3 linked regions of the Oryzias latipes genome follow. The protein of the gene in region 3 interacts with the protein of the main gene of each other region in a pairwise test. Links are inferred from orthologs where the notes say so. Each region holds a gene or a part of one and is shown on either strand. Other genes may lie near its edges. The genes, in order: bysl, leng1 and mid2.

Region 1 (3,535 bases), on a different chromosome or scaffold from region 3:
CTTGTTAGATCCTTTACATGTTCTATCATTGTGTGTCCGAATTCCTTCTCTACCCAATACATAGTGCACTAAATAATGCATTCGCCATTTTGTAGTGCTGCCCGAATCTACATTTCCAAAATCCAGTGCCCTAGAAATTTCCAAGAGGTCTCTGCAAAATTCCAGTGTGCATCGATGCTCACTAGATCAACGAATATAGACCACAATGCATTGCGTCGGAACAATTTTTGCCAAAAAAATGTATTAAATTGTATGTTTTTTAATAAACAATCAACGTTTTCGTTATCTTCTGAAGACAGTGGACTCATAAATGATCATCGCAAAACACTAATTTTAAGAAGATTTTAACTTTGTGAAATCGATGATTTCATATTCGCTATTTAAAAATAAAAAAGTAGTCAGCATGGTGTCGAATTACTTTAAAATTCAGGGCACTACATAGTGCCGCACTATATAATTTTTTAGTAGTTGGGGGTTAGGGTGGGAATTCAGACACAGCCTTAGTATTAATGTAGATTCGTTTCCAGCTAATCAGCAGTTTTCTCCTCAATTAGTGTCCCTGAATGATGTAAGATGTAAAGAAATAAATCAACTTTTACAAATTAGGTTTTTATTTTTATTCCAAATAGTTTCCTTAAAGAAACAAAAATTTTACCAAACTCTTAAACTGATGTAAGGACAGTTATGGGCACAAACCGGTTCATATTGTTCCTGGCGTTCTCTAGGGAGGCACAGAGTTTTGAAACCCTCTCCGTGTTACAACAAGAAGTTTGATTTACTGGAAGATCTATAATCATAAAGAAATGTGAGAAGAATGATCAACTTTCCTAGCATGAATCAGTGCATTTCTACAGTAACAGGAAGCCCAATTTCAATGTCCCTGGACTCTGAGTTTTGTAACTCCCTACGAATTTCTGCAGAAATGGGAGGGTGTGTTTGAAGCTTGAGTAGCTCCAGCAGAGCCGTTTTCTGTTCAGAGGCCAGGTCAGCCTTGTAGCGCTGTGCCAGGGTGAGCAGACTCTGATGCCACAGCACAGGAAGAACACGTTTTTCACTACGGAAAGACAGGAAGTGGGCCACCAAGGCATCCAGGACACGGAAAGGCAGGGCGTACTTCTTGTCGAGCAGCAGACGCAGGAAAATGCTGTTGGCGCCGTTATACTCCATCTCTGCCAACTTCAGCATTGCAGCGCTGAAAGGCAAAATCAAACCTCTTATGTAATGTTGGGCTTGCCACAGTAGAAAGTATTACAAAGCTGGTTTTATCAAACAATAACATCTGGACATCAGGGTGCAGAGGCCTCACCTGGAATGCAGCACAGGGATCGAACACTTTGTGAGAATGCTGCCAATGATGATGGCTTCTCTGAGAGTGCATGTCCCAGATTCACACAGAGGAATCAGTATACCTGTTTAACAATAAAAAATAAACCAGGTGAAGACCATAGGGAGTAAATGCTCCACAGGGTAAATTTCCATAAAAATAAAAAATAAACGGGTTCTATATGAATTATTGAATTCGTCTAACATGTTACATTTTGGACAACTGTTAGCTTGTGGGCAGCTTTATAGACATTTGCATGATAGGTTTTATTGTTCATTTCATTCAGACTCTTGTAAAATGCTTAAATGCAGTTTTGTTTAGGACAAACGTTCAGCTTGTATGCAGACGATGCAGTCTTTTACATACATTAGGGCCGGCCAGCTCATTCCTGGTCCTGGAGATCTACCACCCTGCCTGTTTTCCAGCTCTTCCTGCAATCCTTCCTGCTGATCACCTGGATGGAACAGGTGTGTTCATTCAATCATTATGTGGAGATATCTGACTGAGCTAATCAGGACCCAGGAGAGCTTGGAGATCTGGGAAACAGTCAGGGTGGTAGATCCCGAGGACCAGGAACGAGCTGGCCTACATTATGGAAACACTTTAAACGGTTTCTAAAACGGTGACAAATCTTTCTGCTTACCCATCTAAAAACAGCTTGAATGTTGTTTACTAAAGCTAACAACTTGAAAGGTGTTCTTAATATATATACATCACGCAATGTAGAGAAGATTGAAAGTTTTAGGTGTTCACTTAGACCAGGGGGGTCAAACTCATTTACATTGAGGGCCACATCAGCATAGTGGTTGTCCTCAAAGGGCCAGATATAACTTATACATGTAACTTAATGTAAAGAAAAATAAATGTAACTACTCCTTAATGTTAGATTACTCATTTGTTTATTTATTATAACTTTTTAAAGTGACAATTACAGTTGCATAGAAACATATGTTTTCTTCTTACTTTAGCATAAATCCTTTTACATTTGATTCTGTCAGGTTAGGTTATATGGACAGTGTTTAAGTCCTAATGTATAGTTGCCCAATCTGATATTTCAAGTCCGATTCCCCCTAGATATGAATAAATACACACCAATTTTTATTTTAAGAAATTAAAAACCTTTATGCTCTCGCAGGCCACATAGAATTTTGCCCCGCGGGCCTTGAGTTTGACACGTGTGACTTAGACCAAACATTTCGTCAATTACACAAGTAGCATTAATGATGTGGCTAAAAGCCTCCAAAAAGAACCATTTCTAATTCTAAATAATAAACATTTAGCCCATGTGCTATCTTGTGGGGTCCAGATGACCCCCACCCTTACATTGACGTGTTCTCCCTACCATGACAAAGGTGGATAAAGGTGAAAGATTTCATGTAATCCATGGACACCAGTGAAGATCACAAATCATTGAAGAAAAAAGGTTCAGAGCACTGCCTCCAAGAGACAAACTACGTGCCTCCAAGGCACGTTAATGTTGGGAGTGGGGTCATCTGGACCCCACCAGACAGCACAAAGGATAAAAAAAAAAAACTTTTTAGCATAAAATATTATTAGTTTTGTTACCCTTATCAGGTATGAATGTATGATAAAAAAAAATTGCTCCACAACCCTAAAAAATTGTTCAACATAGTCTACAGCAGAAAACTAATAAGTGGAAGCAAATGGATAGAATACCAGTTTAATCTCCATAAGATCCTCTCCCTTTTTGCACCAAGACATTAGAAAAAAGACGTCCAGATACGTCACAAATACGGGCCTTCAATAGTCGCTTATTAAACTTATCTGTGTTTCGTTTGCACTCATTTAATTTCATTTTTCTCTATTGTAAATGTAACTTTATAATGTTTTAGTAGTTTGCCCCCCCACACACGCACCTGTCCAGGTAATGTGTGACTCTGAGGTCAGAGATAGTTTAGCTCAGTAGGAAGTATCTGCTACTGCTAATAAATATAAATACAGTTCTGTTTTATATTATGATTAAAGCTTTAATTATCATTACTCATCTTGAGAGGATAATACTTGTATCAATGGTTATGGAAGCTTAGGTATTAAAGACAAAAGATGATGTTGCTGCACTGGAGAGAAGCACTGCCACCTAGTGGTGACACTTGGAGGGGATGTTATGTTTTAAAGTAGGTCATAGTTTGGTTTGGAACAATGGTCTTCTTAAACTGAAACCCTTTTTAAACATGAACAGCAACAGCATTA
Region 2 (3,755 bases), on a different chromosome or scaffold from region 3:
GTCTTTCTTCGCCTTTTCCTCTTCAATTATGCCCTTCCTCTTTTCCGATTCTTCTTCTTCTTTTTCTGCGCTGCTTTGCATGTACCATGGAGTCACCTCAGTGCCTGGTTGGGGGCCTAAAGAAACAAGCAGGCCGATGGCTCGCTCTTGCTTCTCCTGGACAAACCAGAGTAGCTATGATCAATATTTAAAATATTCCATTTCAAATAATTGTATTGGAGAATAAAAAAAACTGTAATAAACTCCATTGCCTTTTCATGCAAATTGTTCTTTGTGTCATTTTTCCTTCTCTAATAGATGACTGAACATTGTTGCATAAAAGTAGAATCAGAACTTCCTGGTAAAATAAAAATCCTGACAGAGTCTGATGAGATCCAGCTGCACGTTTTTGCCACTGTAGAATAAGAAACCACAGCAAACCAAGTGTATTAGGTGGGGAAAAGTGGATGTTTACCTTTTTAAATTAGCATTACTGATTTAAAAATCAACAAAAAGCTGCAGAGTGCTACTCATTTGCAACTTGTAGATGAGCAACCTGTTTTTTTTCTTTTGAGTACAGTGGTCCCTCGCTATATCTTTCACGCTCTCGCTGATTTTTTTCATATTTCTTTTCATTGATTTCTTTTAACAGCTCAATTTGTTCTGCATCCTGATTGGTAGTAGACTTTGTCAAGTACTTTCCTCCAAGCGGTGTCTCCTGTACAGAATGCGTTTAGCTTGCCAAATATCTAAATCTTCAACCACAAACAGATTTTTTTGTTTTATTCTATAATACATGACTTATTTTACTACAAATGTTTGAACTTTAAGAGTTTAAACATGAAACAAAGTTCCGTTTTACAGCCTTAAAACATCTCGAATTCTACTTTGTGGATTTCACCTGATGTGGGTTATTTTTAGAAGATAACTCCCGTGATAAACAAGGGAAAACTAACTGTCAAGCAAATGCAGTCTGGTTGTTAAAAGTGTTCATTCTTTGAATGCAGAATTAGAATGAGAGTTTCAAACATGAAAAACACAATAGTTATAGTATTTTATGCACACAAACAAAAATAGATGTTAATCTGTGCTGGATCAGACAATCAATTTCCTGGGATTTGTACACCATTCCTCTCCTACAACAAATGAAAAGAAAAAATCCATAAAATGGACTTCCTAAATTATTTTTAGTGAGTGTTTACTCAGATAAACCTGTAATTTTCAGAATATAAACAGAAGTAGCAGCACAATCACCGTTTCCTCCTTCTTCTCTTTGAGATACTCTTCATTCCCCTTCTTATCTGAAGACTCCTCCAAAGGAAAAAGATTGAGATGCTCCACATGTCCTCCGCTTTGACTCCCATCATCTCCTGTGCTTTCCACTGATTGGAGACCAGCTCGGGCCTTTCTTCTCAGATATTCTGTTCGCGCCTGTGGAAACAAACCATGACAATTTTTGCATGTTATGAAGTTTGAATCTATTTCAGATTATCAACACAATAAAAAATAAACATCAGCTCCATATTAGCGATGGAACAACACACTTTCTTAATGATAGTGTTCAAACCTCAATTTTGTATATGATTTGTGAATAACAACCCCCCAAAAGGAAAGGAAAAAAATACATATAATCTACTCAGTTGCAGAGGTTTCCAACTCATTTTCAGCTCAGAACCAGCTAAACTGTCACGTGATCTGTTAACGTATACTCTGCCAGCACGAAACACAGACAGATGTAAACACAAAAAACGAACGGTAAAACTGAACATACTTCTTGCTCCGCGCGCTCCACGCGGCGTTTAGCCTCGCGCTCCTCTTCTGCAGCCTGGGCTTCGTCCCTTCGCACGCGCGCTACATTGTCTTTATTGCGGACATGCCAGCTTTTCTTCGGAAGGATATTCATGATGGTGTTACTGTTAGCAGTTAGCTAACTCAAAATTTAGAGGAAGAACAGACCCGAGCCTTTGATCTACAACAATATGGAACGCGAATCAGCCAGGTGACTGAGTCTGATATGATTAGTAAAGCAGAAATTAGCAAAAAATCTGCGCAATTGTCTAGATTTTAAAACATTAGCTTACATTTTTTCTACATTAAGTTAGCATTCATGACGGCAAACCTGGCTCGTTAAAAGCACAGTATTATTTTTTTTAATATCCTAAGGTCTAACAACAAACAAATCTGTCCGACTTTTTGGAGAGTTCATCTATTCCAGGTTTGCTGTGGTCCACCGGAAGTAGTAGACCCAAACAGGAAGTAAACAAAAAAAGTTACAACTCTTGAAGCAATTACAAAGAAGAATCGTTAGATGGAGCTGGAGCGAGCGCCAACTGGTTTATTCAAAAGAAATAAATGTAATGGTCATAAGCGAGCAAGACTAAACTTTAAAAAGCAATAAAAAAAAAAAAAAACAACAGCAAACGAAGGACTTCTCATTAAAAAAATACAAATAAATCACAACATTTAAAGAAAAGAATATAAAAAGTTTGAATACATACCGTAGTCTCAAAAGGGTCAAAAATAAACAATTATTTTTGGTTGCTCTCGTCTTAACAAAAACACTGTCCAACTGTCTTGTTTTTTTAAAACAGTATTAGAGGTTCAATTTTTTTACATGCATTTCTTTGCAAAGTCTATATCCAAAAATGATCAAAACACCTGTTTAAATGATCACTTTTAAAGTGCTTAAAGAACAGTGATGTTTAATGTGCAACATTTTTAACATTTTATTTTGAAAGAATCTGGTGTAATTTCACTATGTATATATAATATGAAGCTTTTTTTTTCTTTTTAATAAACATCCTTTCTTTATGACATCGTCTCATGTTACTGTACTGCAGAGACTAAACATTGTCCAGAGGCTGTTTAGTCTTGTAGTGGTAGATACAGTATATATATGTATCTATCAAATGGTATCTTGGTCATCTACCGACTTAGTTCCTCAATCTGCTTGACTAAGAACTGCTTATCCCGGCTCTCCTGTAAAAACAAAAAAGACCAGACCCTGTATTAGTTAAAGTAAAAAAGGAAATATTGAAAAAAATCTTTGTTAACTCATGGCCAATTCTTAGTATACTGCTTTAGATACCATCAACTTACCCGTTTGAGCTGCAGTCTTAGCAGTCCAACACTTTTCCCATAGATGGAGAACAAAGCTATGACGTAGCACATCACCAAACTATGACGGAGAAACAAGTCAGCTGGTAAAGAATCAACTGGCATTCAAAGAAAAATATCATCTATATCTGCACAGTGCAAGACAGTTCAATGATTTTCATGTAAAATGAAAATGGATTTACCCCGATAATGAAAACAGGGGGATTGTAAACGCCTGTGAGCCAATGAAGAAAAGAAACTCTTGTGTGGCTGCAGAGAGGTTGTAGAAAGATGTCGGTATAATCAACCACATGTTGTCAGAGAACCGGAAAGGCCCACATCCCCGAGAAGGATGGATCCTGTATGGACAGACACGGAACGTCACTCAGACATAATTTCATAAATCTCTACAAAGCCATCGCCTTTTTTGTATTGCGACAAATTGGCCAAATTTTGACTTTCTGACCAGTAGGAAAAATAATTGTATTATTTATGTTACCAAGAAACATCCACACTCACACAGCAATGCTGTAAATCATGACAACTGAGGCCAGCATCCAGCCTAAGAGCAGTACCACCAGGAAAAAGAAGGCTGAGGTGGTGGAGCGAAACGTTTTTTGGGGTGGCCGACAGTTGGAGAACAGTGTTATCTGTTTAGGAAAGTGGCAATAGAAACAAGT
Region 3 (3,655 bases):
GGAGGGAATAGGGTCGCTCACACTTCTGAAAATAAAGCCTCCTCTGATGTGAGTTCACTCAGCGAGAGGTGTTGAGCAGGAACATTTTCGCTGACACCGTGCAGCAAAACTGCGGGCGACAGCCACAGTTTTCATAACACAAATCATCAATAATACAGAATGTGGGAGTGCATTTACACCGAGATGAAAAGGATTTTCCCGAGCCGCTGAGAACATTACTGCTGTGTTTTACCTCCAAGACCTGATGAGATTGATTCCTTTGTGCTGCACAGGGACCACGAACAATGCAAAATTGACACGCAGCTAACACAACTCTCACACCTACACTTTTGCACTTTACAGTGACTGTTAAAGCACAATTGTGCTTTAGTGAAATGGTGGAAAAAGGATATCTCAATTAATAAGGAACATCTTAAAGACCCACTCCAATAAAAATTGTATGTTTGGTGTTTTTAACATGTTCTTTTGGTCACTATTGTTGAGAACTCTCTGTTTACGTCCCACTAGATTACAAAGGATGCAACTGAATGGGACGGAGCTTGTGGTCCAGCAAGCATATTTTCTACGCTCATCTGCACCAGATTCACAATGTTTTAAATAAAGAAATACTCAGAAATTACATGTTAAACTTAATTTTCTTCACATATGTCCATTATCAGAAAAATACCGAGGTGAATGGGGGGCGTGGTTGCTCCGCAACAAGACTCCGGTCCACAACTGAACAACAAATTTTGAATGAACTCCTGCTGATCTGCAGAGAATATGGCTAAAAAGAGCAATAATTATAATTAAAAGACCACTGGGAACACTTTAAAAATAGATCAGAAGATGATCAGAGTGGGTCTTTCAGGGTTTAACTGTACCTGTATAACAATAAACAAGTACATTTTTTAATGTAACCTTTCCTCTTCCTGTTTTTGACTTTTTGTTTTGGTTCATTTTGAAGAATAATGTATCCAGTTCAGCACATTTCAATATCTACTTGTCCTATCTTCTCATCAAGCCTTAACCTCCAGCACACATACTTTGGAAATTATTGCACGAGTTCTGATCCTCCAACTGGCATGTCTCCACACATTTGAACAGCCCTACAGCAGAGGAAGCACGCACAGCTACTTATTACAGCATTTTAAATTATGTTCATTTTTCATTTGAAACCTAAAATCTGTGTTAAAATGTTTTGCTTTTTCCTTCCTCTTTTTCTGTCTAACTTTCCTTTAAATAGCACAGAGGCAAAATAATAATCAACTGATTCACATTCAGTGCCCAAAACACACTAAAAGTTTTAAAGCCAGCCAACAGAACTGCTTTGAGCAATTTTTTTTTCTTTTTTGGTGGAGTTAGCACTGGCGGCGGCCTTCCTCTGTTGTTTTTCACCCTGATTCAGCAGTCTCAGTTTTAACGCCGAGCTTGTGAAAGCTCAGTGTCCACAGGGAATGCCAGCTCATCGACTATTATAATGACGGCCCTCTCTTTTGGCCTCCATCTCCCTTCGCCCCTTCTCACTAGTAAACCACACTAATTGTCTCTTTTTTGTGTTCAGGATCAGCCTTTCTGTAGTTCTTGCTAACCAAAAGAACTGGTGTTTATGAATTAACCTCGGTGGGTCTTAAATTTGAGAGTCAATAAGACAAACATGTACAGATAGGTATACAAACATGGCACGTTTTTTTTTTTATATAAATCCTTATTATCCTTGTTTTTCATGTAAGTTTTATGACTTAAATTAAATGTAAGACTATCTAATTATGTGTTAACAGGTAAACTAAATCAAAGCACCAACCTTTAGTTTGTCAAAGCGGTCTGTGAGCGAGGACACCTGGTGCTCCCTGTGGCGCCCCACCAACTTGCAGAGGGAACATATGAGCTGGTCGTCCACCAAGCAGTACATGTTGACCTTCTCGTTCTCGTGCTCCAGGCAGGTCAGGCCGCGGAGGTGGGTGTCGGGCACTGGCTCCACCAGGCGGTGGCTGGTGAAGGGTTTCTTGTTGGGGTGTGTTGCGCGCAGACAGCGGTCACAGTACGACACCTCACATGTAACGCACGTCTTGACGGCCTCGCGCGGCGGATCCTGCTCACAGAACTGGCAGCTGATCCGTGGCTCCATCTTCACAACGATGGCCGGGCTGTGGTTTGCGTTGTTGTGGTTGATGTGATTGGTGTGGTTGGAGTGCGGGTGCGAATGGCTGGAGGTGGCTGGGCTGCTGCGGGCACTTCCTCCGCCTGTGCCACCACCTCCGCCGATCGTCCCGGCTATTGTACCGCTAATGGTGGCGGTGTAGGGCCGCTGCGGCTGCAGGCGCCGGCTCTCTGTGGGGGAGTTGGGTCCACTCAGGGAGGCCTTTTGGAAGCGGTCAATGATGTTCTGCAGCGTCACATTGCGCTTCAGGCCTTCTAAGCCACGGTGATTCAGCGTGATGACGTAGCGACAGGTGGGGCACTGAAAGGCCGAGATGGATTCCAAGGGTTTGGTGGTGGAGCAGTGAGACACCAGGATGCGGTGAGCGCAGTTGAAGCACAGGCTGTGGGCACAAGGCAAGAGCAAAGGATCTTCAAATAACTCCAGGCAGATCGGGCAAGTCAGCTCAGACTCCAGTGTTTCCATCTTCAATTAAACCAATCTAAAGAAGACATCAAATCCCACGGAAGCTGGCCAAGTACCTGAGGGGAAGAGAGAAAACAAAATAAAGGCTTACTGAGAAGGATCTTCTGAGGCATTTATTCATAAAGAAGTGTCAAAAAGGAATTTAAGATTTATTTCTGATTTATTTTACTTGAACCAAATATAGAATATTTTGTTGAAAACAAAGAAAAAATTAAAACGCTGCAGGTGTTGTTGGTTTTTCTTTTCACTTTTATTGATAAATAGTGTAAGTAAAACTTCCTGTTTTATACAACAATGAAAATACAATGTTCTAAATTTATAAGTAACTGAAGAAAACACAAATAAATCTATTTGCGCCTAAACTGTACCATTCAAAATCTATAGTCTTTCCTGCCCTGCTGTTTTTCTGTGCAAGGAATCGTGGATAACACTTTAATTCAGCAAATCCATTATAAAACAATCCCTTCAATATTTTGAGACTTTGATCGTTTTGGCAACTTAGCGGCCTTGTGGGAGAGTGTTCACCTGAGCCTAGAAGTCTGTGGGTTCAAATCCTCAGTTGAGTCATACCAAAGACTAAAAATCAAAACCCAATGTCTCAGCATTGAAGTTTTGGATTGGTGAGTTAAACACCTAAAATGTTCTAAAGCACGTCTGTGTCTGAAACTTACTGCTCCCCAAGAGCATGGGTCAAAGGTGGAGAATAAATTTCACACACCAAGGTGTGTGATAACTAAAGGGTGTTTACCTTATTCCTGTTGGGATTTCCTTGGAACATATTGTAATGGGGGATTACAGAGATGAGCAGTAAAGATCAGCCTTCAATACATATCCATCTATCTTCTTCCGCTTAGAATACATATGAACTTTCCAAATGATACATGATTGCTGTGGAAATGGTTTATTTGATGAAGGTATGTTATCTTTAAGATTTTACCAACACAAGTCCCCTTCTTCACATGCAGTTTATTGCATAGTTTTAGGAAAATAAGTAAGTGAACCAACAAGGTCAGCAGATAGAATTGACAAAAGATTAATAAAGAAAACTGG

What was found.
Region 1: the proteins of mid2 (region 3) and bysl interact in binary tests that used the Homo sapiens proteins (3 or more experiments, as listed by UniProt). The two-hybrid records come from large-scale screens. The link is inferred for Oryzias latipes from reciprocal best matches to the Homo sapiens genes MID2 and BYSL.
Region 2: the proteins of mid2 (region 3) and leng1 interact in binary tests that used the Homo sapiens proteins (3 or more experiments, as listed by UniProt). The two-hybrid records come from large-scale screens. The link is inferred for Oryzias latipes from reciprocal best matches to the Homo sapiens genes MID2 and LENG1.

Annotation. Positions count from the first base shown.
Region 1 is NC_019863.2:2,266,011-2,269,545, forward strand, and holds the end of bysl (bystin), read right to left. Parts: intron 1,410-3,535; coding exon 1,307-1,409; intron 1,193-1,306; coding exon 838-1,192; 3' UTR 594-837; downstream 1-593. UniProt on the Homo sapiens protein: Required for processing of 20S pre-rRNA precursor and biogenesis of 40S ribosomal subunits. May be required for trophinin-dependent regulation of cell adhesion during implantation of human embryos.
Region 2 is NC_019874.2:19,390,944-19,394,698, forward strand, and holds the start of leng1 (leukocyte receptor cluster member 1), read right to left. Parts: upstream 2,222-3,755; 5' UTR 1,883-2,221; coding exon 1,751-1,882; intron 1,411-1,750; coding exon 1,234-1,410; intron 157-1,233; coding exon 1-156. Other genes in the region: tmc4 (transmembrane channel-like protein 4), read right to left, coding at 2,905-2,958, 3,079-3,157, 3,279-3,434, 3,595-3,725.
Region 3 is NC_019868.2:12,745,765-12,749,419, forward strand, and holds part of mid2 (probable E3 ubiquitin-protein ligase MID2), read right to left. Parts: intron 2,662-3,655; 5' UTR 2,606-2,661; coding exon 1,784-2,605; intron 1-1,783. UniProt on the Homo sapiens protein: E3 ubiquitin ligase that plays a role in microtubule stabilization. Mediates the 'Lys-48'-linked polyubiquitination of LRRK2 to drive its localization to microtubules and its proteasomal degradation in neurons.